4 linked regions of the Rhinolophus ferrumequinum genome follow. The protein of the gene in region 3 purifies or fractionates together with the protein of the main gene of each other region. This does not show direct contact. Links are inferred from orthologs where the notes say so. Each region holds a gene or a part of one and is shown on either strand. Other genes may lie near its edges.

What was found.
Region 1: the proteins of KAT2B (region 3) and YEATS2 purify together in Homo sapiens (affinity purification with mass spectrometry; 3 studies listed by BioGRID, with this or other methods). This does not show direct contact. The link is inferred for Rhinolophus ferrumequinum from reciprocal best matches to the Homo sapiens genes KAT2B and YEATS2.
Region 2: the proteins of KAT2B (region 3) and TAF9 purify together in Homo sapiens (affinity purification with mass spectrometry; 3 studies listed by BioGRID and IntAct, with this or other methods). This does not show direct contact. The link is inferred for Rhinolophus ferrumequinum from reciprocal best matches to the Homo sapiens genes KAT2B and TAF9.
Region 4: the proteins of KAT2B (region 3) and TADA2A purify together in Homo sapiens (affinity purification with mass spectrometry; 6 studies listed by BioGRID and IntAct, with this or other methods). This does not show direct contact. The link is inferred for Rhinolophus ferrumequinum from reciprocal best matches to the Homo sapiens genes KAT2B and TADA2A.

The regions. Positions count from the first base shown.
Region 1 is NC_046285.1:61,258,141-61,266,116, forward strand, and holds the start of YEATS2 (YEATS domain-containing protein 2), read right to left. Parts: upstream 3,079-7,976; 5' UTR 2,876-3,078; intron 2,700-2,875; exon of another isoform or gene 2,632-2,699; intron 2,497-2,631; exon of another isoform or gene 2,300-2,496; intron 1-2,299. UniProt on the Homo sapiens protein: Chromatin reader component of the ATAC complex, a complex with histone acetyltransferase activity on histones H3 and H4. YEATS2 specifically recognizes and binds histone H3 crotonylated at 'Lys-27' (H3K27cr).
Region 2 is NC_046290.1:44,820,280-44,828,387, reverse strand, and holds the start of TAF9 (transcription initiation factor TFIID subunit 9), read left to right. Parts: upstream 1-4,928; 5' UTR 4,929-4,955; coding exon of another isoform or gene 4,956-4,983; intron 4,984-6,849; coding exon of another isoform or gene 6,850-6,942; intron 6,943-7,743; 5' UTR 7,744-7,760; coding exon 7,761-8,108. Other genes in the region: cell cycle checkpoint protein RAD17, read right to left, coding at 926-1,009, 1,585-1,842, 3,121-3,224, 4,146-4,188, 4,498-4,521; AK6 (adenylate kinase isoenzyme 6), read left to right, coding at 4,956-4,983, 6,850-6,942. UniProt on the Homo sapiens protein: The TFIID basal transcription factor complex plays a major role in the initiation of RNA polymerase II (Pol II)-dependent transcription.
Region 3 is NC_046300.1:27,741,101-27,749,178, reverse strand, and holds the start of KAT2B (histone acetyltransferase KAT2B), read left to right. Parts: upstream 1-4,905; 5' UTR 4,906-5,328; coding exon 5,329-5,628; intron 5,629-8,078. UniProt on the Homo sapiens protein: Functions as a histone acetyltransferase (HAT) to promote transcriptional activation. Has significant histone acetyltransferase activity with core histones (H3 and H4), and also with nucleosome core particles.
Region 4 is NC_046304.1:23,902,567-23,910,531, reverse strand, and holds the start of TADA2A (transcriptional adapter 2-alpha), read left to right. Parts: upstream 1-4,913; 5' UTR 4,914-4,980; intron 4,981-5,221; exon of another isoform or gene 5,222-5,349; intron 5,350-7,189; 5' UTR 7,190-7,285; coding exon 7,286-7,310; intron 7,311-7,965. Other genes in the region: ACACA (acetyl-CoA carboxylase 1), read right to left, coding at 4,313-4,578, 4,758-4,763. UniProt on the Homo sapiens protein: Component of the ATAC complex, a complex with histone acetyltransferase activity on histones H3 and H4. Required for the function of some acidic activation domains, which activate transcription from a distant site. Binds double-stranded DNA.

The sequences.
Region 1 (7,976 bases), on a different chromosome or scaffold from region 3:
TCTTGCATGTAGAGAAAACCCTAAACATTCCACAAAAAAATTGTTAGAACTAATAAGTGAATTCAGCAAAGTAGCAGAATACAAAGTCAAATGAACAATATCAAAAGGAAATCACAGAAATAATTTCATTTATAATAGCATCAGAAAGAATGAAATACTTAGGGATTAACTTAACCAAGGAGGTAAAAGATTAGTACAATGAAAACTACTAAACACTGCTGAAAGAAATTAAAGACTTAAATAAATGGAAACACAACTCATGTTCATGGATTAGAAAATTTAATATTGTTAAAATGTCAATACTACCCATAGCCATCCACTGATTCAGTACAATCCCTATCAAAATCCCAATGACATTTTCTGCAAAAATAGAAAACCTATCCTAAAATTCATATAGAACAGTGGCTGCCAGGGGCTGGGGGGAAAGAAGGGAATAGGGAATTATTGTTTAATGGGTGCAGAGTTTAGTTTTACATGATGAAAAATGTTATAGACATGAATGGTGGTGATGGTTGCACAATGTTACGAATGTATTTAATACACTTAAAAATGATTAAGGTGGTAAATTTCATGTTATGTGTATTTCACCACAATCTAAAAAAAAGTATACATAAGAGTTAAATGATAAGTACATTTTTTTCCATTATCGACCACATCCTTCCTGATGGAGCACATGTAATAAGTGCATTTATTCGGGGGTAGGGGGAGGTGACATAAGGGAGGAAATTCTGCAAACACTATGTCAAGCTACATATTTTTAAAACCTAAAGAGCTCTTAACAATAAATTAGAAAATGACCAACAAAAAGATGCAAAGGACAGGAACAGAAATTCACAAATGGCCGATAAATGTGGAAAAATCTTCAACCATATTAGTAATCAAGGAATGGAAAAATTAAACAAGACACCATTTTTTATCTATCAAATTTAGTTTGGGGGCAGATGAAATAGGTGTCTTGAAGGCGGTCTTTTTTCTAATTCACACTCACTGTCTTCATTTCCTCAATCCCGTTCAATTATTCCAATGTGGTTTCCACTTTAGACCTCTGGATAGTTAAGTACTACCAATGACCAAAACCAGCAACCTCCATGATTTCAAATCCAACTGAGCATCTTACTAAACATCTTAGAAACACTGATAAGAGGACCAACTCTCCATCTTCCAGACACTTACCTCTCTTGGCTTCCGTGACACCAGTCTCCTGCTTTTCCCCCTAACTCACTCTTTCTTTCTGTCCTATGCTCAATCTTCCTCTACCAGACCTCAAAGTATTGGAGTGCCTGAGACTTGATTTTCACTTATTTATACTCTTCCCCTGTGTGATATCATATAGTTTCATAAATGGGAATATCATCCATATAACTGAGTACATACTCCCAAATTTTTATCTCCAGCTCTAGTCTCTCTTCTGTGAGTTCCAAACCTGTACATCCAACTGCCTCGTCAACATAACAACTTCAAAACTAATATGCGCCTCAAATTTAATACATCCAAAACAAAACTAATGATTTTTCCCACCTTGAAGTTCTCTCTTCCATTCTTCTCAGTAAATGCCATCGTCTACTCACAGTTGCTCAAAAACAAATACTGAAAAGCAAAGACTTCTTCCTTTCCCTAACCAATCCATTTATTCCAAGTCTTGTTCATTCTTCCTCAAAAATGTTTTTTAATCTTTCCATTGCCATGGACCTAGTTCAAGATACTGCAAACAGCATCCTAACTGGTCTCCCAGTTTCCACTTTTGCCCTCTTCTGTCAGATTATGCTCCTTACCTATTAATACTCAAAATCTTCAAAGGATTCCCATAGAAACCAGATTCCTAACCAGGGCATCATCTGCTCCTATCTTTGAAAGAATATACACAGCCAAAAATATACACTCAATGATAGTATCTGTAGACAGGAAAACTATGGGTACTTTTTCTCGTTTTGCTTGTCTGTAGTTTTAAATTTTCCCATGATGAATACTTGCTACTTGGTTGTTAAGAAAGAGGAAATGATATTGCTGAACACTATTTGTTACATCGCATTTTTACATGCTAAGGAGAAAAGGGAATGGAAAATTGTAGGTAATCTCTAACTGTAACTGTTACAAGCTTAGATGAAACTACTAGCAAACATATCGACTCTAAACATGATGTGCCAAGGCTGTAGGATTACTGGTGATATTTTCCTTCTCTACTTTCTATTTTTGAATGTAAGTACATTCGTAACAGAAAACAAATATTATGATATAAACCTCATTGTCTTCTGCAATCTGGCCACAACCCACCAAACCAGCCTTTCTTCCAAGTACTCACTGTCCCATGCTTTCCACTCCAACCCCGCACTGTCTCACACCTCCGCTGCTTTAACTTGGGCACCATCCCTGGAATATCCTCCGACGTTTCTAAATCCTACTCATCCTTCACGCGGGAGGAGGACGGCTAGGATGGCGACAGGTTGGAGGGAGATTCCAGGATTCTTGTTGGTAAATCCACAACTTGCTGGTCCTGGGGCCAAATCTCACCACTAATCCCATCACAGGCCACCAAGCTTATCATCCTGAAACCTCCGGCCACTGGAGCTCAAGGAACCCCCATCCCTCAAAAAGCGCTGCGCCCCTTAGAAAAGGAGTCCCCCCTAGACATACCCAAATTCCGGGTTCCCCCTTCGGACACTTCCCGGACATACACACTCAGCCTGGATCCAGCCTCCCCCCCAGATCCTCTCCCCTCCGCAGTCATCCGCCCCTCCCTCCGCTCCGCAACCCGGGCCGCGCGGCCGGAGGGGTGGGGGAGGGGCGCGCACGTGCCCGCGCCGCCCCCGCCCAGACAAAGCCCGGGAGAGCGGAGCGCGCACCCGGCCGGTCCCATCCAGCTCCCGCCAACACTCACCCTTTCCCTGGTCTCCGGCTGAAGCGCAGGCCGCGCAGGGGGAGAGCACCGCGGAGGGGAGGGAGCGGGCGAAGCCCTGCAGAGCAGCCCCACCACGAAGCTCCAGCGACCCCGGAGCCCGCGGAAGCACACAGCTCAGTGCAGCCCGCTCGGCCCTGCACGTCACCACTAGGGGCGGGACGGGGTGCGCGCAGCGGTGGCGGCGGCGCGCGGGCGCGCGACCCGGGGGCGGAGCTCGCAGAAATGTGGGCGGGAGCGGGCGGGAGGGGCGGAGAGGGGGGCTGGCCCTGGCCCACGTTCTGACCCTGGCCGGCGCTGCCGCTCCTCGTGGGGTGTCTGGGGATCGGTTCTGGCAGAGTCACTGTCATTTATCCTTTTCCTCCCTAGAAGGAAATGACGCAGCCCAATCCCAAGTTTGACAGAATATTCTGCCGGCATTTGTGAAGCTTTTACAGTACAGTAATAACAGCAGTAGCTATGATTTTTGTGTCATCTCGTACCAAGCTTTGTGCCTAAGTAGTAGAGACACAGATAACTATAGGTATTGCCAACCTACTTTACAGATGCAGAAACTGAGGCTCAGAAAGGTTGGAACTTACCTATGTCACACAACTAGTCAGTGACAATCCATCAAGTCCAGGTTTCCTCTTAAATATCTTAAGTCCACACTTTCCTTTCCCTCTCCTGTACCACCCTGCCCCAGACCCCTTCATCTCTCTTCCCAAGACTACTCTGGTCTCCCAGCTGGTCTCCAGGGATCTGATTCTGTCCCCCTTCAATCTGTTCTCCTGTGTAAAGATTTTACCTTTGGAGCTGGGTGGTAGGTTTAGAGGGGGTACACTTTGTAATTGTTTTATACTTTACATATATGTTATTAAGTTTTTCGATGTATATAATGTTTACTAAAAATATTTTAAGGGATTTACTCCTTTATCTCCAATAGCAAGCCCAGTGCATTGCACATAGCATGAGCTCAAAAAGTATTTGTTGAATGAATGAATAGTACGGCCAGGAACTGACTCCAAAACCCTGCAATATAAGGGAATAGAATATAATATGTCACCCCAGCCTTCTGACCTTAACGTCTACTCCTGACCTTAAGGGTAAATGAGATTGATAATATTTGTTCAGCAAATTTTTGCTGCATTTCTATTCTGTGTTTTGGCACTGTGTCAAGACTGCGTCAGGCACTGAAAATCAGAAATGAACAAAACAGTTCATTTTAGTCAATCTAATGTGAAAGTCTAGGAAAGGCCTCCTTGAGCCTTAGGCTAAGACCCAAAGAGAAAATAGGAATTGGGAGATAACAATACTTTTACTGGAGAAAGACGTAGGGTAAGAGGTCAGCAGGAGTGTGTCAGTGTTCCTCTACTTTGGGGTCTAACCCTGAGGCAGGGGCATAGAAGTATCCAGCTAAGTGGGGGGGGGGGAAGAGGGGGAGGAGGGAGTGTTAGAAGCCCACTTCCTTTGGCCTAGCTTGAAAGGCTGCCCATTTCTGGCAGAAGGTTCCCATTGAGCAGGACTTGGGAACAGAGAGCAGCACTGGGAAGAGAGAGGAGTCAAAAAATGCGGCATGGTGTCCACAATTTGCACCTGGTGTGCCAGAAAACCAGCCTTCTCTGCATGCTCCCTGCCAGACAAATAGACAGAGCCATGGACAGGCCAATGGGCGCTGTGCCAGGTACCAGGTGATGACCAGAGGCAGTGGAGGGAGGACTCATTGGCAGGGAATGGCTGGAGAATGGAGCTAAGACCCCAAGGATAGAACGAGCTGAAGTGCTCCCAAGTCAGCTGGGGAGAGGAGAAGGGATGGAGGTGTGGGAGCGGGGAAGGTGAGACATTAGATTCTCAAAGTGCCGTAGCAACAGATGATGAGCTTGCCAGCCAGCAACCTCAGCAGCTGATGCCAGCAGGGCCATAGTGACCAGGCGTGACCAGGGAGGCCAGTGAGGACCCAGGCTACAGCTCACAGTTCTGTACCCCTCCTGCCACTGCCTTGGAGCTTCCCTTGGATCCCACAGGCCATCTTGGGAAGTCAAGAGGGGAGAGGTGAAAGTTCTGACAGGACTGCAACTGTGCATTGACGAAATAGTTACCCTAAATGAGACTGTTTAAGATCAATTAACTGTTTTTTCTCTCTTGGAAATTTTATCCGTTCTGGGGACAGGGAAGCAGGCAGCCCCTGCCTCCTGCTGAGGGTGTCACAAGCCCTCCCTGTCTTCCTTGCCATTGATGGGGAGGTTCCCATGTTCGAAGGAAGCCAGGAAGGCCTTGAGCTTGAGCGGGGTACGGAGGGTGCCATGTAGGTGGAGAGCGAGGGGAAAGAATCCAAGCAACGGGGGCCAGGACCTGGTGATTCAGCAGCAAGTCGAGCAGGTTGTAGTCTGCAAAGGAGACCTGGTTGCCCATGATGAAGGCCTGGTCCCCCTGGTTCGAGGACAACAGGGTCTCAAAAGACTTCAGGCGCGGGGACAGTTCCTTCACATAGTCCTTGTTGCCCGCTTCATAGTTGGTATAGATGAGGGTGACGTACTTGGAGCGGAGGTCCTCCATGCTGTCATTCACCATGTCCATCAGGGCCACCTCCCGCTGGTCCTTCCCATAGAATCCGAGGGAGACGCTCAGGTGGCTCAGGATGGCATTGGATTGGTACAGGGTGAACTTGGGGAGCTGCCCATACAGACAGGAGGCCTTGAGAGGGCTCCACGGACAGTTCTCCTCAGTCACCAGGTCCTTCTTCCAGCTCTGACCCTGCTCAGACAGCAGCATGCGCCTGGCCTTGCAGCGCCCTTAAACAGGGAAGTAGACAATGGTGTAGGGCCTCTTGGTTGCCGCGTAGACAAAAGTGCTGGCGGCGCTCAAGACCAGATAACTTTCCTTGGCAAGTTTAAGTTTAGCCCAATCCCCAAAGTTGTAGTGATTAGAGCCCATGAGAAATAACATAGCTACCGATTTTTACACATATGCATGCAGTGTTGTACATTTCAACAACAGATAAGCTCTGTGAAGGAAACGGACGGTGCTCAGAAAGCACAGCACAGAGGGACCAAATTTCGTGTGAAGGTAGAAAAGGACTCCCTGAAAAAAATACGAAACGAAACCTGAAGGCAGTAGGAGCTGTTGAGTCACCATAAAGCCTGAGACCAGGTGAGAAGTCCACGGAAACTTAAGCAAGAGCAGAGGGGCTGGGGATGGGGCTGACTTAGGCAGGAGCAAGATCACGCAGGAGGGAAGAGTTTGATCTTTATGGTAAGAACGACAGGAGGCCTTCAAGGGTTTCAAGCCAGAGAGTTAATGTATTCAACTTGCCCTTTAGAAAAAGATCACTTACCCTGGCAAATGGGTGGGGAATGACTGGGAAGGTGTGTGAACAAAGTAGCAGCCAGACAGTTGCAAAGCAATTTGAGTGGCAAAGGTGAATAATGAAGGTGGTTTACACGGGACAGTGGAAATGAAGGGAAATGGATACATTCAATAGTTGCGGAGAAAATGCTGAGAGACTTGGTAATGAACGGGGAGGAGACCAGGGAGGAAAGGAAAGGAGACTGGCCCTGCTAAGTCAAGTGGCACATGAGGAAAAGCCTCCCCATCCTTCAAGCAGACAAAGACCTGTGCTGGGGCACACAGCTCGGCGAGTGGCAGGACGTTGGATTGCAGGCCCCTCCTTGGCCAGGCCTCCTCAGGCATTGTTCACCTGTACAGTCACTAGAGGTGGGGTGTGGGGGTGGGTTGGGGAGTGGAGCAGAGTGGGGGATGGGGTGCGGTGGGGGTGGGGTGGGTGTTAAATGTACAGTGTTAATGAAAGGAAAAGCAACTCATATTAAAGTTAGTCAGGAAGTTTCCAGTAGTGTTGACACTGGCCCAGGAAAAGGAGCCAGTAGTTTGGGGGGTGGTGGTGGGGGAGAACCTATGCTGGCAACTGCTGGCAAACAGCTTCTTGCAGCAGAGAAACAAGGAAAGCCTGAGAAAGGTGGGGAACCCGAAGCTCTGCCTGAGAGGGGGAGGGGAAGCTGGCTCAGATGGAAAACTGTAGTTAAACTGACCAAGCGTTCCCAGGCCCCAGGTATCCCGGACATCCCCCTGGGAAGACCAACCACCCTTCCTAAGATTAACAGGAGTGGGAACTCTGGAGCCCTTAATGTAATGAGGTTCCCCTACCAGGGTGCAGATACTAATTATACATGTAAAATGAGGACCTCACTTATTTACAGCTCCAAGCAAACCATTAATGTAATTAGTGTCTGGGAATTACACTTAGGCAGTTAGAAATAAATCGTTGTCTCCAACTAGGTCCAAACAAGAAGCCAAATGTCTGTTTGTCCTATTCGGATTTTGGCAAAACCAAATTCCACTCTTGCAGATCCTATTGGATCCTACCCTAACCCAAAAGAAGCCATGTATTGTGCTTCTCTGTGTGGATTGCACAGTCACTGTAGAATTACAGTCTTTGGGAATGAGGGTGATGATGCAAGACGTGTTTTCATTCATGGAAAAAAAAGGAGGGGTAGGTGGAATTTGCCCTGAAAGGAAACATTCTATGGCTGGAACTGGTTGGACTCTCTCTTTGTTTTGTATAAAAACGAGGCCTCTAGATACGGAGAACTTGGACCTCTCGTACATTGCTGATGGGAATGTAAAAGCATGTAGCCGCTGTGGCAAACAGCTTGGCAGTTCCTCAAAATGTTAAACACAGAGGTACCACATGACCTAGCAGTTACGCTCCTAGGCAAATACCTCAGAGAAATGAAAGCATATGTCCACACAAAATTTATATAAGAATGTTCATAGCAGAAGCACGTCCCTCAATAAAGTTGTTAAAAATAAAAAGAGAGGCTTCTGGACAGATGCTAAAAATGTCTGAAAATTACTTGTAAAGGTAAGGTAAAGTAAATATAAAATTTCAGCTATAATATGGTGCTGGTGGAATTTGGGCAATGTGAAGAGGAGAATGTATAAAAATAGTTCCACTTAAACTTCCAACTCAAATTTTTAAAGACTGAAGAATTTTGATTTTAATTTGGTTACATATCCTTATATACATTATCAGCTTTTAGGTGCCCAGTTAACACAATACTGGGATATTTTCATTTATTGCTTGTTG
Region 2 (8,108 bases), on a different chromosome or scaffold from region 3:
GATGGAACAACCTGACAAATCCAGAATCTGAGACTTCTACCAGTCAACTGTCCTGGTCTCTTCAATTAGTCAATGTCTTGGACAGAAAGGGTGAAGGTTGGGACTGTACTAGATTTAAAAAGACCTAAGAGATATAACAATCAAATGCAATGTGTGGTCCTTGATAAGATTCTGTTTGTGACCAACCAGCTCTAAAAGACATTTTGGGGAAAACTGGAGAAATGTGACTATGAACTGAGCATTAGATAACATTAGGAAATTACGGTTAACTTTGTTAGACAGAATGGTACCTATAGTTAATTAGGAAAATGCTTTCTTTTAAAAACAAAATAAAACATAGGCACACTGAAGTTTCTAAGAGTCTGACTGAAATGTCACATGTTTATAATTTACTTTAAAATACTTAAGGGGGAAAATGATAGATATACTATGGGTGTGAGTATGTATTAATAAATTCTATTTTCCTTTATGTTTGAAGCAACTCAAAATAAAGTTTAAAAAGAGAGAGTATTCTAGCTTGGGGGCCAAGAGTAATTGTGGAATTAGGAAATGAAACAAAACACATCAGTGTAAAATGAATGACTGCTTTAGGCTATATTTAGTACAAAAACTGATTCGTAATTTGCCAGCTTGCTTCAGTGTGAGATAATCTGATGTGCTAAATACACTAGTACCCTAACTGATTCACTGTGCTTTATGTTGATGACAGGACATAAGAAGGAAAAAGACATATAAGTAAAGGAGAAAACTCAAAGTCTCAGAATCTTTTAGTGAGGCCAGAAATACTAGTAAGATCAGAGAGTTTTCCACGAAATAGAGTTTTCTGAACTTATTTCTCACATAAAAGTTTAACTTCTTAAAACTAACTATAAGTCAGAAAAACATTTGATGCTAAATATTTAAAACACATTTTTTATTGAATTACCTGTTTTGGTTGCCTTTCTAAGACTTCAGCTTTTAACCAGGTTTCAACTTCTTCAATTTTCTTTTTATGCACAGCAAGTTCATGCTAAAAATATCAAGTTTAAAATAAAACATTTTAACTGAAGGATTTTTGGTACATCACAGATTAATCTAAACATTTTTAATGAAAACACTAAAAAACAAACAAGAAAACACTAAAAAATAAGTAATATGATATAGTAATAGAAAAGGTTGATTACATTTAATTTTTTCTATTGTTATGAAAAAAATGTTTGTAAGCTGACACTATTGTACGAAAACTACTGGGCAGGTTTGGAATTATACGATTTTTTAAAAATCCTGAAATATATTTTGGGAAGGAAATAAATAGGTATTACATTTAGCAAAACACACACACACACACACACACACAACAAAAAAAACCCAGATTAGATCAATTCTATGTTGGGTTAAGTTTAATCTAAGATAAATACAAATAATCAATTGTACAACTTCAGAATAATTGCTGAGAAAATCTGAGCCTTGGGACATAAAAAAAGACACTGGTTTTTTTCTAATTCATTTAGATAAAAAGAATTCTATGAGTAATAATCTGAAAGTGTACATCCCTCTCCTTTATGAAACTAAATTACATAGACATGTTTACATGCTATTTATTACCTGACTTTCTGGTTTGTACTTATCCACCCACGGTTCATTTTCAGACAGATATTCTTTTGAATTTTCTAGACCATAAATGTCTTCTGAGGAAGATAGTTTTCCTCTTTTTCTAGTTGGAAATCTGCTACTTTCTAATGGGGACGACAAATTGTTTCTTCTATGACTTGAGTTTTTCACACCCAATGATGTGGCAGTAATAGTAGAAATGCTTGTATTCTCTGAAAAATCATCAAATGATGGGTCTACCCAGTCTGTTACCTGAAAAAAAGAAATCATGTAAATACTATTGCATTTTTTGCATCTGTTCCCTATGTAATTAAACTGTGTACAAAAAATGTTTGTATATTTGCAACATTTAAAACAAACATCTCGCAAATTAGCTCTTTAAATAGAATTGATGTTATATGTAATACTTATATTTCTACTTTACAGTAAATACAAATGCATACTTGTCTACTTGACCTTGGTAATGATGAATACCATATAAAGGAATATAAGATATAAACTTAATTCTTTTTATCAATGTAATCTTCCCACGATAAAGAATAGGCTGATTCTTTTAAACTTGTTTGTAGAACTGAAACATAAATATTTAAATTACCTACCAAAAAAGAAGCAAAACAAAGAAACATTATTTTACCCATGTACAACGAGAAAAGTAACACTTTTGCCTTCACCAGGTAATACATTACATTTCAATACATCCAAATAATCCCTAACAGCTTCAAGACTTTGTGAGGATATAGTCTAAGACTCCTGATGTTATGAATAATTTGTTAATATGACTTAATTATATTCACTCCTCTTTTAAGGACACAGGGTTAGAATATTATCAGCAGTGGGTAAAGAAATGAAAACTTCTGGGAAAAAATTTGGTCATAGTTACCCAATTCGTCTCCTTCTCTTTAAAAGACTGTCACTATTACTATAATTTTGGCCCTTTTCCTCAATTTTTAAGAGTATATAAAAATATTATGTGTGAATAACAATTCTGATCTACATGTTACTTATATGTTTTATAGTTTTATTTCTTACATAAATGTGGACTGCCATTTACTGAAAAAAGAGAGAAATGGCAAAGTTAAATAATTTACTTAAGATCAGAGAAAAATCAGACAAACCATTAGGAAAATAGCTACTTTGCATATGAGGATGATACTGTCCAACTCTACCTTCATCCTACTCTACCCCCTAACCTTGCTGAGAACTGGCACACTGAACCACATGATTTCTAAGAGGCAGAGCCTCTGTTAAGCTTTAACACCAAATACAATTCATATAGTCCTTTCTTCTACTGCTCTTTCAAGAGTTTTCAGCATTTTCTTTTTGATTGGGATTGCAAATGACTTTTCAAAATTAAGGTTGTACTTTTAGTGCAGAGCTGTTTCATAACTTATTAGACTTTTTAGATCACTAATTAGAACAGATACTGGCACCATTACTTTGATAGCAGTAATAAATCATTAAAAACATGTACAAAAATTTTACTTTTTTTTTTTAAGGCAATTATTACAGGACAATTTTAGTGTATCATACCTTTGTGGAAGATAGCTTTTGTCTAAGAAAAGGTTTTGACATTATAAACTTTAATAGTTCCCATCCGTAGTATATAACCTGTAGTACATTAAAGTATAATTCACCTGGGGGGAAAAATTCTCAATTAAGAAAAACTGTAAAACAGAAGGACAGTAATTAACATATGGGATATAATCAACAGCATAAGAAGGTTAAGGCTCAAGATGAGTGAAAAAGAACTAAGTGAAAGAGAACTGAGTAAACATAGGTGAAACAAGAGTCAAATGCTAAAATAAATTTTAATTTTAATGGCTATAATTGTCAGTCTATTCATGGTATTATAAATGTAAATTATTTGATACGAACTCAATAACTAGAGAAAACGGAAAAACCACATATTTGTGTACCTACCTTTTGTCATTAAGGAAAACTAGACATTCTATTTGTGTAGTTTTTATAGGAAAATTTAAAATTTCCCTTATTTCAAATTACAGTTGATTACAAATTTGTAATTTTGTAATTTGGCAAATTACAGTTGCCAAAATTTCAACAAAAACACTCCACCATACAATGAATTCAGACTTTATCACTCACTTTGGACAAAGATTTTAAATCTTACTGTAAGTTTTTCCTATAACTGTTTTCCTTATTTGAACATATTAGGAAATTTTTTGGCAACACTATATTTTCCGACTTTCATAATTCTTCAGTGTTTATACAAAACTAGTAAACTCGCCAATTTTAAGTTAGCCAGAGGAAAGTTTTTTTAAGGTCTATAAACTTATAAATTGGGAGGTCTATGGGACTTTTTTTTTAATAGCGTGGAGGCACACATAATGTGTAAATACTTCCACGTACTAGAAAACAAATCGTACACATACAGATACAAATCGTTCACGATTAGAGTTTTTTTGCTTTGGCGTTTCAAGAGATACATAGATGTTAAAAACATTGAGTACATCTAGCTGGCAGGTCGAAGTAAAAGGCACAGACTGTCGCTACGGCCAGGAGTCCAGTCGTTCTTTCAAAACAAGACTGACAATTACCTCCTTTAAAAAGCAGGTAACCGTCCTTGACGATGCCAGGGTCCTGAAACGAGACGTCAGAGGTAGAAGAAACCTTCGAGAATATTTCTAGCAGACCCACCACCACCCTACACACTGAACAGGGGTTAATAAGCTCAGACAGTTGTGCAACGTAATGCTGCTCATCAGTGGAGAGCCGAGATCCGCTCGCTTGCGCCGGCTCCAGGCCAGAGGTCTGCACCCCCACCCTCTCATCGCCAAAGGGGATGGGCAAGTAGGAAGGAGGAGCGACGAGACCCCGGGAAGGCGTGCAGGCAGAGATGGACTCGCATCACTAGGACATATACTGCAGCCGCAGCCGCGGCGGCCTTACTTGCGGGGAGCTGCATGACCTCATGCGCGGAGAGGAGCGAAGGAACCCAGGTTCTGCTCCAGTAGAAGGGAAGCCACCAGGTCTTACCCGGGCTCAGCCCCTAGCCTCTCCGAGGTCCCGCCTCACGGGACCTTCCAGACCCATCGGCCCTTCCGCGACAGAGCCCGAAGGGCGGAGGCAGCCAAAGGAACAAGCGACTTAGGCATCCAGCGCACTGCCTGACCTGAATTGCGGACCCGAACTGTGTCCCTGTCTCGGACCCTGAGATGGAATTGTGTCATAGAAGGTCAGATAACCAATGGTTGGTGACTAGAAGGCGGAGATGGGTCGCGAGCGCCGTGCAGGATCTTGAGGACCCCGGGGCCACTGGCGCTTGCCGCGGCCCGCTCCTTCCGGCTCCAGCCTGTTATACTTAGGTCTCGTGTGCCGATATTCCCAGAGCCGTCGCGGGGAGGACCATGTTGCTTCCGAACATCTTGCTCACCGGTCAGGGCGCGCGGCGGGGACGGGCTGGACGGCGGGGCAGGCCAGGGACGCTGAGTGCACTGGGGCCTCGGGCGCCCGAAGTGTGTGTTTGTCACACACACAGCGGGGGCGCTCACATATTCGAGGCCAGTCGAGGGCCTCGAGGCGTGGCAGTTGCCAGGGCCTCGAGATGGGGCCCTCGCGATCGTAGCAGGAGGCGGCGGGGGGGAGGCGGCGGGGGGGAGGGGAACGTTCGTTCTGTTGGCCCGAGGTTGCTCGGTGAGGTGGAGAGAGGTAGACCAATCTAGTTCCCCTTTCTGGCATGCTGCCTGCTCTTCCTGAATCTGGTTTTTGTTTCTAAAATGGATGTTGATTCTTTATTTGGCAGGGTTTTCTTTGGCTTTTTGCGATATCTTGTAAGGCAGTATTTGGCCCTTAGTAGATCTGTTACTGGTGGATGCCTTAGTCGTTAGGCCTTACCTGGCCGTGTTTCATTTTTCCTTTGTATCTGAGAGTCAGATTTCAGTAAAAGGGCTCAGGTGTTTGTGGTATAGGGTGATTAATTTGCTATATATGTTTGTTGAGTTAATGCCAGAGGCTTTTTTCTTTTCTTCCAAGAACAAAAGGCATCTACTGAGCATCTCGTCGTTTCTTGTGTAGAGATGCTGAAAAATTCCCGTGGGGGCCCTTCTGGGTCTCCCGGCCTGTTATACGTGAGGAGTACTGAAATGCCGCATAACGACTTTAAAGAATGTTACTGTTTGTCGTTTAACTCTGAAAATGTTTATTAAATTGTAGCAGTTAATAGCATCATAGGGCATTCATTGAAGAAAATCTAATGGTTATAGGTGCTATTACAACACAGAAAAATTGAGACACTCTGGAAACAAAGCAATAAAGTTTTCATCATTTAACAAAACATAAGCTTGTTGGTAGTGCACAATTTCTGTTTCTGAGAGTTGCAGATTAACCTCTCAACAAATTAATGTTCAGCCTTTAAGATTCCTTAAAAGGAAGATTTTACGGCATCTGAATTGTTTGGGTCAGACAGTGTCCTGGATTTTGATATTAAGGCATATTGTCAAAAATCAAGGTGAGCATTTTATTGAAAACCTGGTAAGTCCAGGGTTCAAACTTGGTGTATTATAGTGGACTTAAGGTAAATGTTATTGTCTTGTATATGGAGACTTGATTTATCCCTGTTATCTTGGATTGTAACGATCAAGTTTTATTATTTCGGTGACATTAAACCCAAACAGCCTAAAATTATGCATTGATGCATCTTGAAATACAATAGATAATAAAAAGGGAAAGTGAAGAACAATGTGTAGCGTTGCCATTTATGTAAAAGGGAATGTATGTGTGTGTATGTGCACATAATATGTATACATATATGTACACATGCTGTTGTGTATACATATACATGAATGTGTACACAAACACATACATAGGACTTCGTTGGAAAGATATATAAGGAACTGGTTTACAGTGGTTGCCTCTAGGGAAGAGTACAGGGGATCACAGGTGGAAATGAGATTTGTCTTTCATACTTCTTAGATTTTTTTCCCGTGAATAATTTCTTAATTTTTAAAAAATTAAAGCGAACAAGGATATTAATTTATGTGGGATGGCTAATTTTACTCTGGGAATGTCCATAGTGTTGGCAAGCAGTCTGAATTGGCATCAGAATCACCCAAGCCACACTCCTGATAGAATCAGATACACTGGGTGAGACTTGGACATCCATCATGCTTGGGGTGGTTATTGTGTGTGTTAATTCACATGGGATTGCTAATTAGGAAACTTCATTTCAGTCATTAACCTTAAGCGGGGCACATAGCTTACTAAAGCCTAGTAAGTATTTCATGAACAGTATTTTTCTTACAGGTACACCAGGGGTTGGAAAAACCACGCTGGGCAAAGAACTTGCATCAAGATCAGGACTGAAATACATTAATGTGGGTGATTTAGCTCGAGAAGGTAAGGGACATTTTGATGTTAAATTTGTTTTTAAAAAGAGAGAGTGTGAGAGACAGATAATGGAGTATTAGTACTATCCTTGAGAGGGTACAACATGCAGAGAAAGATTGCCATTAAGGAGTTATGCTCTACTGGGGATCCATAGAAATCATAAGCATTAAGTGTCTAAAGCTATGTCCTGGCTATTTTGACCATTACATTGCTCCCCAGTTGACTAGCAGTTCTTGTGGACAGTAATAATTGAGGTTTTCATGAAGAGATTGGATTTAGGATAGGTAGAATCTGAATATGAAGAAGAGGGACAATGTTTGGAGATGGGTCAACACAAAGGTTTGGGTGGTGCTGAGGATGTCTTTGGAGACAGTGTTATATTGATCTTACTGGAAGGACAGATTATTTTGAAATCAGACAGTAGAACATGACTGTCCTGTGGTATTTTCTTACATTAATTTGATAGTTGCATGTCTGCATGCAACTGCACATATTCTAAAATATGTTTTTACTTATTTTACCATTTCCCCCTCATCTTTTATCACTCCCTTATTGTGTCTTTATCTTTGTTTATCTTATAATTGTATCTTTATTCTATAATGATTTCTACAGGGTAGAAACTCAATAAATTTAAGGGAACTTCTTAAAGTGTGCCTCATTAAAATTAAAAAGATTTAACATATTTTTAAAATTTAAATATGTTTTGAAAAATTTAACGTATTTAAAATTTTTTAAGTTCCTGACAGTTGCTACTATAGTAACTATTTCAGGTTTGACCTAATGTACGTATTTTTTTCAAATGATCTGAAGTCTGATCACCGGATATCATGGAGTCTGGCAAGATGGCTTCTCCCAAGAGCATGCCGAAAGATGCACAGATGATGGCACAAATCCTGAAGGATATGGGGATTACAGAATATGAGCCAAGAGTTATAAATCAGATGTTGGAGTTTGCCTTCCGATATGTGACCACAATTCTAGATGATGCAAAAATTTATTCAAGCCATGCTAAGAAAGCTACCGTTGATGCAGATGATGTGCGCTTGGCAATCCAGTGTCGTGCTGACCAGTCTTTTACCTCTCCTCCCCCGAGAGATTTTTTATTAGATATTGCAAGGCAAAGAAATCAAACCCCTTTGCCATTGATCAAGCCATATTCAGGCCCTAGACTGCCA
Region 3 (8,078 bases):
GCAGAAGTGTTCAGTATGTTAATTCACTATTTATTGCATGTTATGGACTGAATTGTGTCCCCTACCCCAAATTCATACGTTGAATTCCTAAACCTTAGTACCTCAGATGTGATTATACTTGGAGATAGGGTCTTTAAAGAAGTAATTAAGGTTAAATGAGGTCATATATAATTGGTGTCCTTATATGAAGATGAGATTAGGACACAGGGATACACAGAGGGAAGACCGCGTGAAGACATTGGAGGAAAATGGCCAACCCCACCAAGACCTTGATCTTGGACTTCTAACATTCCAACTGTGAGGAAATAAATTTCTGCTATTTTAGCCATCCAGTTTCTGGTACTTTGTTATGGCATCCCCAGCAAACTAACATATTACAGTCACATAGGAAGTTGGTTTGTGTCATAAACAAAATGTAGAGTGAAACAACAATAACAAGCAAGATGGGAGTGTTTGGTGGGTAGTTATAACAGGCTAATATCCTCTTGGTTTCCAGCCATGTAAGAGAAAGAAGTGTTCTTTTCCAGAACACTATACCTTGGCAAAGCTGAGTAGTTGCAATAGAGACTATGACCCACAAAGCCTAATCTACAATCTAGCCCTTTACAGTAAAGGCTCACCCAACCCTTCTCTACAGGGTTTATTTTGTAAATGTTAAAAAACACGAGGAAGGAGGATACAAGGATACTTGGGAAATGAGATAAAGAGAGATACGAAGGAGGATTTCTTAACCTAATAATATATATATGAGATAAAGGGAGATATGAAGGATTTCTTAAACTAATTAATTACTAGTACATATAGCATATCTGGCTAATGAAAACGAGAAAATTTGGTTAGTGAATATAGACATTATCTCACTCACTGAACTTTTCTATGTGTTTGAAATATAACAATATACAGATTTTTGTGTTTTGGGAAAATATCATGTTACTATACACAAATATGTTTGTGCTTTCAGAAGATATCATGTTACTATAGTATAGTTCCCACGACGGCTCATTCCTCTCGCCTTGTCTAACAACTGTACCGTACTACTTTCCATTTTTCTTTTTTGAGTTCTTTACCCAAAGTGGTTGCTGATGTATAACACTTGTTTCATAAGTTGAAAACCCTGCTCTGAGCTTTGATTTTAGACCTAGAGAGTCAGCTGCTGTGCTCAGCCAACCAGGACCTAAGATTAAGGGAATAGAGGTAGTTGGTTTGCCCATCTAAGGGAACCCTAAACTTAGAAAACCTGTCCTGATAAAATTTTTTTTCTAAATTTGTGAAATTATGTGTATGACCATTTTCACAGAGTTAGGGAATTAGAATCCCTCTTAGGTTTTTTTAAAAAAACAATTATCTGGCACTAACAAAAATAAAATTCATGCTATTCAGATTGCTACAGAAAATGTAGGTCATATCAAAGTTTGGTTCTTTGGAAATTTTATTTTCTTCCATAATTTTCAAGATGCTTGAAGACATAGATACTCAGATATTGCTTTAGAAAAGCTGTCAGCCATTTAGCCTGAGTTCGGAAGAAAGGAGACTTCATTTCTTCTACTTACTTTCTACCTTCATTGTAAATGGTAGGTAGGCTGGTAAAACAAGCACATATGTTAGTATTTAAAACAAAACAATGGGGAAAAACCTTCTCTCTCTACAAGAGCAATGCTCAGCCAACACATTTAGGCCTATTATTTTCCTATTTTCCATATTAAATATGTAAAATTGTTATTAAGAACAACTAAAAATAAAAATGAATAAAGTAACGCTAAAGGTATTTTGGGCCAGCCATGCTGTTTGGGGGAGGGTTTCAGGCAGCAAAGCAAATGCAGAGGCCCTAAGGCTGGAAAGAGCTTCCTGAGTCTGGCTGGAGTATGTACTACCACATGGGGAGAAGGGCCAGGAGAGGTGGATCTTGCCGATCAGGTTATAGAGTTGAGATTGTGCTTTAAGTGTTATGAGAAACCACTGGAAGGTTTCAAGCAGGGAAGTATGGAATACGTTTTGCATTTACAGTTTGAAACCTCTGTACAACTATGAAGAGGGGATTGTGGAAGAGCAAGGGTAAAATCATGGAGACCAGTTAGGAAGTCGCTGTCAATAGTCAGGGCGAGAGATGATGGCCACGGAGACAGGTATGAAAAGATTGAAGATAGAGTTTACAGGTAGAAATGATGACTAGTGTTTATTGAAAACTTTCTTTGAGTGAGGAACAGGGGAATACAAAGTGAGAAAATAAGTTTTATTCTCAAGGGTGCCCAGTGGAAGGGAACTACTTTTAAGAATTTGCTGTGTGTCTTTCTAAATCTTTCTCTTGCTTTTGCATTTTTATATGCATTATTGAACACATACAGGATTGTGCTTATATGCCAATGAGTTTGTTTTTATTTATTTATTTATTTTTCCTCGCGGGGGGCAGTTTGTTTTTAACATAAATGATATTACACTGTACAGGGGTTCATTCAACAGTATTTCTTGGAGATCTATCTATGCTGTTATATTTATATAAAGGTCATTCTTTGTAATAATCTCATAATAGTATTAATACGCCAAAAGTAACCTCCAGTGGTCAACCTGACCCGTATAATTCCTACTCCCCACGCCCTTTATTTTGTAATTGTGGCTTCTCTTTACGTCAGTAAGTTGTAAATACTTTGTAAACTAAAACATTGACTTTTATTTTCTGGGTACCCATTTCCTAAAAGGGCTCTGTACACAGGAGCTAAATACTCACAACAGCCTGGTTAGGAAGTCTCCGGAATCCTTTGCCCTTGAAATGTCCCTGCCTGGTGCTCATAACACACTTTGAATAGGCCTTCAAACTCTAGGCCTTCAGCCTAAGGCAGTATGTCATTTGGGTGCCCTGAGCAAGAAAATAATGAAAAACAATGTTCAGTAGATGTCACAAGCCATTCACCATTCAGACAGTGATGGTTTTCAGGGTGTATTGAAATGAGGTTGTTTTCTTCTTCAAACATTCTGCAAATAGCCTGCAATTTGAATTCTGGGAGTGGCTTTGGGAGAAGGAGGTGATGGGTGAGTTAATAGTAAAGCTGGGTTCCTCCCAGCCCCCAACATTTTATTATGGAAAATTTCAAACATACTGAAAATTTGGAAGAATTGTGCAGTGTGAACACTTCTATACCCTCTATCTAGATACACTCTTAACATTTGACACTTCTTTATCATATATATGCTCATCTGCTTATTTTCCCATTCACAGATACATCGATCCATCTGATTTTTTTGTGCATTACAAAGCACATTGCAGATATCAGGGCACTGCACACCTAAACTTTCAGCATGAGAAACTTTAAGTAGAGGTCAATATGTATGATGTTAAAAACATATTTGAGGGAAATTTATATCCAGTGAAATGCACAAATATCAAGTGGACCAGTCCATCAGTTTGACAAATGCCTACATGTGGAACCCAAACCCCTATCAATATCTGCTAACATCATGATGTTAGATTTTGACCAGAGGATCACAGCCTTTAATACTCCCATGCTGCTTTGGCAAGAATGGCAAAAAAAAAAAAACACCTGTGAAACACCTCAGCAGAGTAAGGCGAGAGTAACAGTGGTAAAGTGAAGCACCCAAGCAACTCTTCCAATGGGAACGACCTGAGGAGAGTTTGCCATTTCAGACCTTCAGATTGGACTCAAGGTGGGAGAGGATATTTCCTTTTGCCTCGTCTAATGCCACTGGTTAGATGTACAAACTTTGAACACTTTTCCATTTTTACATATCACTCTGCATTAAAAATCAAAAGAATGTAGAGAATCTATAAAAAAGAAAATTAACTGGCAAAAACAGGAATGGGAAGGGAAATATTTCCAGGGAAAAGCACATTCCTTAATATTTCTGGCTGGATTTGGGTGAGAATAATACAGCATGCAAAGAATTTGATAATATGCACATTATGACCCATATTACATAAAAGTTATCATTCACATTATGAAAGCAGGGCACTTGTGAAGGGTCCTGAAAAGCAGCCCTGGGCTTTAAAAAACTGTTTTAGAAAGACTGACCAAGGATGCACAACGTTCAAATGAAAAAATGCAATGTTCATTCCACATTACTAAACACAACCCTCATCGTCATGGACAAGGAAAACGATAGTTTTCAACAGTTTAAACGCTGCGTTGATTTTTTAACTTTGAGGCCAAAATCAGTACTCATATTTGGTGTGCTTAATTTTTTTTCATGGTTAATATGCCTGCTGGTGGTATCAATTTTGAAAACTATGGTACATTATAGAAAAGAATATAGCAAGATTATCACCACACTATACCGAGATGAGCCCTATTAACAAACTTGTATTCAAACTTTCCCCAGTACGCAGTTTTCATTTTGACAGTGCTTTTAGACAACCGTGTGTGTGTGTGTGTGTGTTTTAACAACCAGCACTTTCAAACAAAAATTACAAAAATATTAAGTCTTTTTCTTCTTCTGGCCGATTGGACCCAGAATTTACTGCAGGAAGAAAGCGTTCTTAATTAAAAAGAAAAAAGTTGGACAGAAAAGTATTTAAAAAGAGAAACAGAAAACATTACGCCTCTATTTTGGTGAATTAGCAACAAAGAAAAGGATTAACATAGACGGGTACTTTAAAAAAATATTTATTTTCCTCTGGCTCCCGCTAGGGTGGAGGAAGTTCTCTGTTCCGAGAGAGGGTGGAACAGAGTGGAAGAACAAATGACTGGGAGTCCCCCCCGCACCCTCGGCTTGCAAGTGCGGGGGTCAGCAGCGGGGGCTGTGGGGATAGAGGCGGCCAGCAGGTGCCTGGGCTCCAGCCCCCTACCTCCCCGCCCCCATCCATCACCCCCTCCCGAGCTTGGCCTCGCCCCCTGGCGGGTGAGCGCTAGGAGTAGAGGCGCGGGGGTGGGGGGTGCAAAACCCCGCGGGCAGCGGGAAAGAGGCCGAGGGGGGGTGGCTTCCCGGCTCTGGCATCGCCGAGAGGTTGGCACCGCCTGCACGCACCCTCAGTCCGCAGCCCCGAGGAACATGTCCGCGGCCAGGGCTCACAGAGCCCCGGGGAGGAGAACCGGGGGAGGGCGTGTGCAGTGGCGGCGGCGGCCGCGGAGCCGCTAGTCCCCTCCCTCCTGGGGGAGCAGCTGCCGCCGCCGCCACCATCAGCGCGCGGGCCGCGGCCGGAGCTAGCCGGGCGAGCGGCGCGCGCGGGGGCGGGCGGGGGCGGGGAGGGGGGTGGGCAAAGGGGGCGGGAGGGCGTGGGGGGAGGGTCTCGCTCTCCCTGAGACCAGAGCCCGAGAGGGAGACCCTGGCGGCGGCGGCGGCGCCTGACACTCGGCGCCTCCTGCGGTGCTGCGGGGCGGCATGTCCGAGGCTGGCGGGGCCGGGCCGGGTGGCGGTGGGGCAGGAGCCGGGGCTGGGCTCGGGGCGCTGCCCCCACAGCCCCCCGCGCCGCCCCCCGTGCCGCCGCAGGGCTCCCCGTTCGCCGCCGCCGCCGCCGGGGGCTCGGGCGCCTGCGGACCGGCGACGGCAGTGGCGGCGGCGGGCACGGCCGAAGGACCAGGAGGCGGCGGCTCGGCCCGAATCGCCGTGAAGAAGGCGCAACTGCGCTCCGCTCCGCGGGCCAAGAAACTGGAGAAACTCGGAGTGTACTCCGCCTGCAAGGTATTCGCTCGCCGCTCCCGGACCGCCGAAGGGGACTCGGGCCCAGCTCACGGGACCCCCGCCCCCTCCCCCTCCCGCCCGCGCCTCCCGCCTCCCGCCTCCCGCCTGGGGCCGCTGCACCGCGGAAGTGCTGTTGTCGCCCGCGCCCAATTAGCTGCTTCTCGGACAGGAGCGCTTTTGGGTTGGAAGAAGGGGGATCACCAAGACCGAGAGCTTTTCTTTCCTCCCATTTGGAAGGAGTAGCCTCTGTGTCCGCGCTGCTGTGCTGCCCTGGGGCTTTGTTGCTCTGTAGGAGCTCGCCAGGGGTGCCTTCCCGGGAGTGGAGCAGTGCTCACTGTGTAACGAGCGCCCCAGGGCCAAGGAAACATCTTTTGGGGGAATCTGAGCACCCCCTCTTCGCGCATCGTCTCCCTGTGCCCCATTGGGAGGAGCTGGAAGAAGGAGTGAGGGTGGAATGGGCTGCGGGACTCCCGGAGCGTTGGGAGATCGAAGGGGTGGAACGCACCGGGTGAGAAGGTGGGCACATCTCACTGCGAGGGTCCTGTAGCTTTGGGCTCCTTCCACTGAGGGTGGAGGCACTGCGGCGTGCGGCGACAGCCCCGTCATTATTGTGTTATTACTTGTTTAGTTAAAACGCTGTCCCAGCTGCTCGGGGTGTAAACAGGCTTTGGCAAGGTGACAGCCCAGCGCGGCAGGCGCTGCTGCTCAGTTTGAGGACACACATTTCTTGCCATCCCCTCTCCATCCTAGCTTTCGGCACCCCGTAGCCCCTCAGCTGCAGATCCAGATGTGGACGCCGTGCTCCCGCAGTGGCAGGATTGCCCGAGGCCGCAGGGCAGCCTGGCCCAGCGCTGTCAGCAGCGGCTTTGTTTTGACAGGGTGACAGCTGAAGGGGGCGGGGACTTGGCCTTGTCAGCTCCTGCGGCCTGTGGCTGAGGCAGGGAAGAGACACCCTCACACACTCACACACCTCTTATGTATTCCTCCCGCCTGCTGCAAACAGGGTCATGTTTCCAGATTCCCACAACCGAGCTGCAGTGGCCAGTTTTGAATTTTGGTGTAAAGATTATTAATCCTTCCAGAACCTCTCTCCCCCCTGGTGATGTTGTTTTTAGTAGTTACAGGAGCTTCTCAGCTGCATTGGAGTGTCTGTGCTTACTGTTTTCCCACACCATTCACATCCTCTTGTATATGTTGAACGCCTGTTGAGTACCTGACACTCGTTCAATAAATACTTGTTGAGTGGATGTAGGATCTAGCCCAGTGTTTCTCGAACTTTAATGTGCATGGGAATCACCTGGGGAGCTGGTTGAAAATGATGATTCTAAATTAGTGGAATTGGGGTGGGGCTGAGAATCTGCATTTCTAACACATTCTTAGGTGGCTTGATGCTAGTTCACTGACTTCACTCCAGATAGCAAGTCCCAAGTTCAGAACGGGACAGTATATTATACGACTCTTTTGAATTCTGAAACTGTGAAACAATAATGCCATGTGGTTGGTATTTCTGAAGACGGAATGCAAAAAAGATAAAATGTGGAGTGTGCTTAAGAAAGGTGACGGCCAGGAGCTGGTTATTGAAGGCTTTAGAGTAATCAGGAACAAGGTCAGTTACTTAGTGGACTCGGTGTTTTGCAGCCAGAGTGGGCTCATATAGGCACTGTGTCCACTTAGTGTTTCTGCCCTGCCTTTTTATAGGTTTTTCCATCATGAGCACCTTCTCTTCCTGTTGCCCGCTATTGCTTTAATATCCAAAAACTTTCCTGAAGTTTTGGTCCTTTCTAAAACTAGGAGCCTTGCATTGATATTTTGGATCCTTTCAAATTTCCAAGAGTGAGATGTAGCACCTTTTGTAAGGTTTGTGACTTGCGTGTTTCATGTTCACATTCACAATCAAACTTATAGGAAGCGAGAATCTCTTAATAAAGACCCTTCTTCCTGCTCCGGGGAGACTCTGAAAGTGTCACTTTGTATTTGCTCATTTATTCAGTAAATATTTAGAGAGGTCCCAACTGGGTGCCCGGCATTGTGCTGGATGCTGGGGCTATGACACCCAGAATTTATCCTTCTGGAGTTACAGAGTGTGTGTGTGTGTGTGTGTTTGTGTGTGTGTGTATGTATGTGTATGTGTGCGCGAGCATGTGCCGTGCACACACATGTGTTGGGGGCCTGGGGAGGTGTGGGCAGGGAACCAATTACAATGAAATTAAAAAGAACTGCTTTCTTAAAGTGTTGCTGGAACTCAGAGCTGGCAGTTCCTGGTCTGGAGCACCATTGGGGTAGGAATGGCTTCCTGGAGGAAGTGTCAGTGGGTGCCAAGGAATCTTGGCAGAGCAGAGTGGGGTGAGGTGAAGCTTCCTGTAGTGGAGAAACTGAAAGCAGTTATGAAAACTTGGAGCTGTGCCAACAGGAGCTAGAGGTCCACTGGCTGGGGCCACCAGATTAGGGTG
Region 4 (7,965 bases), on a different chromosome or scaffold from region 3:
CATTATAAAACCCTGATTCCTGCTAAATTCTTCAGTTTTAAATAGTCAGAAGCGGTTTCTTAAGTTACATTTGGACACATGTGGTTTTAATTCTGGCTGTGCTACATAGTAAATGAATGTCTTTTGGGCAAGTGATTTTACCTCTCTGAGCCTTGTTTTTCCTCATCTGTAAAGTGGGATACTGCAGGGCCCTTCACCAGAATTTCTTTCCCCTCTTGTTCACCTTTGAGATCTTTGGGGCCCTCCTACTTATGCAGAAGCACCCCAGACAGGTCACTGTGTGGAGAAATGGCTACATGTAGGTCTTGCATTTCTTTTTTTCTTTTTTTAAATGTTTGTAAGTTTATTTGAGCCAAAATGATGACATATTCTTGGGAGCAAGATATCACATACTCCCTAGATCTTACATTTCTTTAAGCAGATTAGGAGAGGTGCATCAGCCCTTCCTCTGCAGACTGATCATAGTTGGAGTGGATTAAGTAGCAGTCTAGGAACCTTCTGGAAGGAAAAGGATTGATTCCCTAACTCCTTCCACTAGGGTGGCAATAAAGGGAGAAAGATAGGGAAGGGTGGAGTGAGAGGGGCAGGAAGGAGGAAGGCAATGCTCTTGATGCCAGAGATAGCAACAGAGAATAAGGAGGCTGGAACCAGTCCTGAGTCGGGCCTCAAGAACTGTAATCCTTGAGGCTCAGGCCTTTTGTGGAGTGAAGCCCTCTCTATTGAGTGCGTCACAGGAAGACTCTTAGCCTTGAAGAGCCCCTATAACTGGCAAAGGGCTCTGCTCTGGGACCTAAATTCCTGGTTAATTTACATTGACTGGTATGTCTCAGAGTTTAAAGGGGAGGAAGTTGAAACCTAAAAGGCATAGCTAGACTTTTAGATTTTCTATTTTATCTATTTGTATACCAAAATACAGAGAGCCACTTCAGTTACAAGAAAAAATAAACATTAGATGAGATAAAGTTCATAAAGTCTTTGAGAACTCTGGACGTAACAAGTAACTAGAAATGGTAGAGAATCATTTCCATAGGGAGGGAGGCTCAGAAACTGCACTTCTGATTTTAACAACCGCAGCTCAGTATTTGAAAAGGAGTTGTTGGGATAGTTTGGACTCAGTCAATGGCAGCCACAATACAAAGTCTGACAGTATGATACAATTTTCCTCGTTGGGTTTCGAATTCAAAAGTCAGCCTTCTGAGTTAGTTATGAATGGAAGGGCTTGGAGAATGTGCTATTATTAATCTGTTCTGAAGGTCAGCCTTCAAAAAATATTAACCCAACCTGGATTGATCCTGGTAATGTAAATTTCTGTCTTAAGGAGGATGAAAGGTGTTTTCTCAGGTTCCTTTACAGACATGTTTAGTGAGGGAAGCAACGAGGTACTTAGTCATCCCTGCTAGGACAGGTTCAATACAGGTTGTACTGGAAGTATGCAAAGGGGGTACTTAACCCAGACTTGGGGGCCAGGAGAGATGCTCCTGAGGAAGTAATGTCTAAGTTGAAGTGGAGATACCCTGGCAAAGGAAGCTTGGAAGGAACAGGGTGCATAACGGAAAATCAAGGTACGTCCGTCGGGCTGGAGAATGACGTGTGAGATGGGGCAGTGATGACAAACAGAAAGACACTAGACCTTGAAGGGCCTTCTACAAAGAGTGATCACATAATTTATTGTACAAACTGAGACGCTTTTGAGAGTGAAATGAGACAATGTAACTAATTATATTGGGACAATAGGAGTAAATCAGAACTGTCCTGAGCCAGTTGGGACTTATGGTCACCCTACTTGTAAGTCATGTTCAGGTGCTTGGACCGCCAGTGAAAGCATAGATTGGATATAGCTTCTCTTTTTACCTTATACATTTTGCCTGAGTGACTTCATCCATACCTTTGCCTTTACTTGCTTATTTCACAAATATCCGTCCAGGATGCACTTCTGGGCACTGAGGTTATAAAGAAGAAAAGACACAGTGTCTGTCCTCAAGCTCTGTCTAAAGAAGACACACATCCAAAGAAACAATTCTAATAACAATTATACAGTTTTAGCCCCTGCCTCTCCTCTGAGCTCTGACCTCATTATGTCATTTCCACTCAGGTTGCAAAACACAGATACAAAACAGAACTTCTAATTTCTCTTCCAAATCTATTCTTCCTTCAGCTGGTCTTATTGATGTCACTATCCACTACACTGCTGAAGGCAAAAATTCAGAAAATCACTACCTTAATCAGTGCTATCCTTCTTCTCACTGTGCATTTTAATTTCTCCACATCTTTCTTAAGTACAATGACTAAATTCTTTTTTTTACTTATATTTATTTATTTTTAATTAAAGTTTATTGGGGTGACAATTGTTAGTAAAGTTACATAGGTTTCAAGTGTACAATTCTGTAATACATCATCTATATCTCATATTATGTGTTCACCCAGAGTCAGTTCTCCTTCCATCACCATATATTTGACCCCGTTTACCCTTTTCTAGAACCATCGCCCCTCTCCCCTTACCCCCTGGTAACCCTAAACCATTGTCTATGTCTATGAGGTTTTGTTTCTTCATTTGTTTGTCTTGTTCTTTTGTTGTTTTCAGTTACCACATGTCAGTGAAAACGTATGGTTCTCTAGTTTTTCTGTCTTATTTCATTTAGCATTATAATCTCAAGATCCATCCATGTTGTCGCAAATGGTATTATTTCACCTTTTCTTACGGCTGAACAATGACTAAATTCTAATCAGGGCCTAACATAAATTGAAGAGAAAGGGTAATTTTCAGGTGCTTGAATGTAATGTTTTTAATGAATAGATCCTAGTATCATAAGGGACTGTTTTTTCCACAATAGTACAACATTAATGACTCATACTCCGTTTGTTGACAATCATGACGTTCAGATCTGGATGTATGCCCTCGCCAGTCTCAAAAAATTTCAGTTTAGGTGAGAAAGACATGAAGATAAGTCTTGAGTGTTTGACCCTATCTCCTCTTTATGGAGAATGTGCGAGTAGTTATACAAGTGTTAAGGTGTAGGTGAAACACGGATGTTAATAAACGATCTTTTCAACAATTGCTGTGTAAAGGGATAATTTATGCTTTAAAGGCCAATTTTAATGTTTTTACCACCTATTCTCCACACAGCTTCCAGAATGATCCTTTTAAAACAAATCTGATTATTCCTTAGCTCTCAAACCTTCCACGGCACTCTATATCTCAATAAAACCCAAAGTCCAACCATGGTTTACCAGATGATACATGATCTGACTTCTGCCTCTATTTCCCAACTTGTTTCTGTAATTTGCTGTGCTCCAACCACACTGGTCTCCGTGCTTCTTCTCCAAAATGCCAAGCAAGTCCCTATCTTAGGGCCACTGCGATTGCCATTTCTTGTCTCCTAGAATAGTTTCCCTCTAGAAACCCACATAGCTGCCTCCCTCATTTCATGATTATATTTCTGCTTATGTGCTCTTCCATTAAGAGGCCTTCCTTGTCTATCACATCTAAAAGAGCATCCCACATCACTCTTATCCCTTTATCCTGCCTTTTACCCCATAAATATTGCCACATTACTGGGCATTATCTATTATTTAGCAATATATTACGTGTATTACTTATTGTCAACCTCCCATTATAAGAGGCAGACTTTGTTTTGTTCACTGCTGAATTGCCAGAACGTAGAACAGTGTCTGCTCATTAAATATTTGTTGAATGAATAGATTTTTAGGCTACATTAAATGTAAAACTACTCTGTATTTATTGATATGATGCATAGAAAAATGTCTGTAAGAGTGCACAGCAAAATGTTAACTGTTTATTGAACATGGTGGGAGGGGGCTCCTTTTCACATTTTTGCTAGTGAATTTTCTTTTTTTTTTTTTAACAAAATGAACTTGTTTTACTCATACACTAAAAAATATAAAGAGGCCATATAGACAGAAAGTGTAAATGAATTCTAAAATTCTAAAAGAGGCTGGACAATTTTATGAAAGACAGACTTTTTCCTTTATCTTTTTTGTTTCTCTTTTTTTTTTCCTTTAAGACAGACTTCTAAATAGAGTAACAGCAGAATAATTAAAATACACCACAGTTTGAATCCCCTTCCCCAACACTTTCCAGCAGTGTGATCCCAAGTTATTTATTGATAAGCCAGAGTCTAAATGTCTTCACCTGGAAAATGGGCATAGTGCCTACCTCAAAAGGTTATTTTTGAAGATTTAATGAGACCATGTATGTAACCTCCTTTGTACAATGACTGGCATGCAATAAACACTTGGCATATAGTAGCTATTATAATAATTAGTAGTAGTAGTAAGAGATGTTGGGACATACCTAGCCCTCAAGATTGACATCAGAGTGGACCACCACATCCTCCCATCATTGTGCGCCTCAATCTGGGCCTCTGAAGCCCAAAGAGGGGATGGTTCTTTCCAAAGAAGACAATTTCGACGTTCCAGAAGCATCTGAATAAAACGTAACCTGTTCACCCTTAAACCATTCGGTCTGGTAAATCCACGAACAGCACTCCAAGACCGGCTTCCACAGGCGGCCACAGCTCGCCGTCCTTGGGCCCAGTCCCTTAGCCTCAATTTCCTCTGCTGCAACAGGAGTGAGAGTGTTAAAAACACAAAAGCAGGACAGTACCGGCCCGCCCCACCTCACGGCACTCCGGCGGGGATCGAGCGGCACCACGCCCCGGCAAGCCTCTGGCGACCAGAAACGCACCTCACGGGAGAAGTGATTACTGGTCAGACTGAAAGTCAGGCAAAGGGCTCACCCGCATCCTCTCAGGCCTCTGACAGAGGACAGTGACAGGCGCGCGGCACGAGACAGGGCCACGAAGGCCAGGGAAGGGAAGGGGCGGAGGCGGAGGGCGCGCGGCACGCTGCGGGGCCGCGAGGGGACCGGGCGCGCTCGCGCCGCTCGGGAGCGAGCACGCAAGCCCAGTGGCGCGCACGTGGCTGGCGGCTCCTCGGCGCACAGGAGGGGGACACTGCGAGGTGAGGCACGAGGCGCTGCAGGGCGGGCGGCGGCGGCAGCGGCGGGGTGCGAGCCCCTCTAGCCGGACGAGGGGGAGGCGGGGACCGCGAGGTTCTGTGGGGATCGGGGTCAGGCTGCAACACCCTCGGCTGGGGAGACGCGGCGGGTAGGCGGGCGTGCGGCGCCGGGCCACGTCGCGCTGTGGGGGAGGGCGGCGCGGGGCGGGGCATTACCCCTTGGGTCCCGCCCCGCGGGGAGGGTCGTCTAGCCGTCTGGCCGGCCCTGCGCTGTCTCAGCCTCGGTATTTCCGTTTCTATGGTGGAGCGCGTAACTACGTTAACAGCCGCTGTGTGTCATGTCCTTACAGACGTTTCCCATTGAGTTTTCAGGTAGGCCTTCCAAAGTAGGTATTTCATCTACTTTTTAGAGCTGAGGCTGGCCGAGGCTCAGCTAAAATGACTTGCCCAAGGTCATACAGCTAATACAGAATGAAAGGATTTGAACCTTGTCTGCAAAACCGCACAGCCTGCACCTGTCCTCTGTACCACACTTAATGCTGTTCTTCACGTACCTTCCGTTCTCCCAGTAACAACTTTGAGTTTGACAAATGTTAATTTGGAGCTAGCACCCATCCTTTCTTTGGTGGATGTTAGTGTCAGAAATGTCTCTTGTGAGAAGAAGGGAGAGGAAGAAAGAAGATCCTGCTGATTGCAATATTGTGCTTATGCCATGGAAATGTTTATCAGACTGTTTATACATCCTTTACTTGACCCACTCAACTAACCTCTGTCGAAATGGTGTTGCTGTTCACTGCCTGTAAGGCATTGTACAAGTAACATAATCTTTCAGGGCTTCCTTTCCTTCTTTGAAAAAAAGTAGTACGCCTCAGGTTGTGAGGATTCAAAAAGACAATCCAAATACAGTGGCACCACAATACCTGGCATATGAGAAAAGTTCAGTAACTGTTGGCCACTATTTTATTACCAAGTGCATAATACCCTTTGCTAAACTCATTTTTCTTCAAAGACTAACTTTTTCTGAGACTAGAGCAGAGGGATAACTATTCCCACCCAGCCCACCACCCAAAAAACAGGGTCATGACAGCCATGTTATCTGAGTGTTGATACACTTAATGATGAATTATTCCTCAACCTAAAAATATCCGGTGAAAGAAGTCACTTCAGAAGAACCTTTTAAATTAACCTTTTGAGGAACTAATATTTATCCATTACCAATACATTTGTGTTTACTGAGTTCTTTTTGTGTGTTTGGCATTGTGCTTAGTACTTGAAGGCATACAGATTTGTATTGGACATAGTTCCTGCTTTCATTTACTCTAAAAATGGGGAAAAATAGGTATTCATACGTAATCCTCACAAAGTAGAATGTAAAAAAATGCCATAAAAGAGATAGACAAAAAGCTATGGGAGTATAGAAGGAGGGATGTTTTCTTGGCTTAGTGTGAAATACATACTTGTATTTCTGCCTTAAAGAAGATACTGTGTACATTGTACATACCTATTAAATATTTGTTCAAGGAGTAAATTGGTGAACAAATGCATGTTGTAATGGATAGGATTCCTGGGTTTCTGGTAAAGACACTTATTCATATATTAAAGTGTTATTGGAAAGAGTGAAATGAGAAAAAGAAGAAAACTAAACAGTTTAGCCACTCTTGGGGATTCGGATCTCAACAGCCAGAGCTCATGGACCAAATTCTTTGACTAGTGAATAACTGAACTCCAACTACCTTCCATCCTTGTATGTCTTATTCAAGATTCAGATTTCTCTGAGATCTGGTCATTTAAGCTGTTGTGGGGGTAGAGAACGGAGTATTCCAAGTGGCAACCCCACCAGAACCATATGAAATGTAGAGTCTGTTTCCCTAAGGAAAGGGGGCTAAGGAGAGAAATGAGACCAAGAAGAGAAAATCAGTAGTGTACTAGGGAAATGTCGCCTTTGTAAAGGGCTTACTATTGGCCAGGCACCATGGTACATTATTTGTATGGATATTTAATTTGATATTTAATCCTCACAACAGCTCTGTGAGATAGATACTATTATATCATACCCATTTTACAGAGGGGGAAATAGGCTTATAGAAATAAAATATTTTCTTAGTGTCACAAAGCAAGGATGTGGTAGAGTTGAGTATGTTGCATTATCTTTTCTTTCTCTTACTTACTCGAATTATTTCCTGATCCATGTGCCACTTTGGTTTGTTCATAGGGGGACATCAAGCTTTGGTGTATGTGTTGACCAGTTCTGAAATCTCCTTGAAGGAGCACTGCATTGAGGAAGATCAAAGTCTCTGCCAATTAGGGAATGGACCGTTTGGGTTCCTTTAGCAGTAAGTACTATGTGAACAAGTCTCAGGTGAATATTAATAGCAAACTGTAGTGGAACTTGGTCAAAGAAGAAAAACAAGCATTTTGAAGTTAAAGTCCTGTGAATCTGATCTTAAAGAAATAAGAGTCTCAAATCAAAATAAAATCAACCAATACTTAATATAAGTGGGTTCAATCAATGAGATTGCCCACTGAACACATGACAAACATATCACCTAGGTTTTATAAGAAAACTAAGCTCAGCTAGACCCGGCATAGTATGATTAACCTGCGTTTAGACCCACAAAAGCATTTGGATTTCTCTTTAGCACCAATAACATATTTGTGATGCCTTGATAAGAAATAATGTCTGTGGTAGAATAAAGGAAATGCACCTCTCCCCATTTCAGAGTAAACCACAGGATAATAATAATGCAGAGAAATGTGGCATATGTGTGAGATAAATTCAGGCCGCCACAACTATAGAGAAAAATAGTGCTTTTTCGCTGATTCTGAAGATAAGAGATTTGGCAGAAATAGAAATCCATTGGAAGATGTTAGTATTATCCCAATGAGAAGAATCAAAAAGGGTATTTTTGGGTATTGTTTCCTCTTCAGCAATTTTTTTATAGGGGCTCTAATTTACTCTCTCATCACACTCTATATAAACTTAGTACA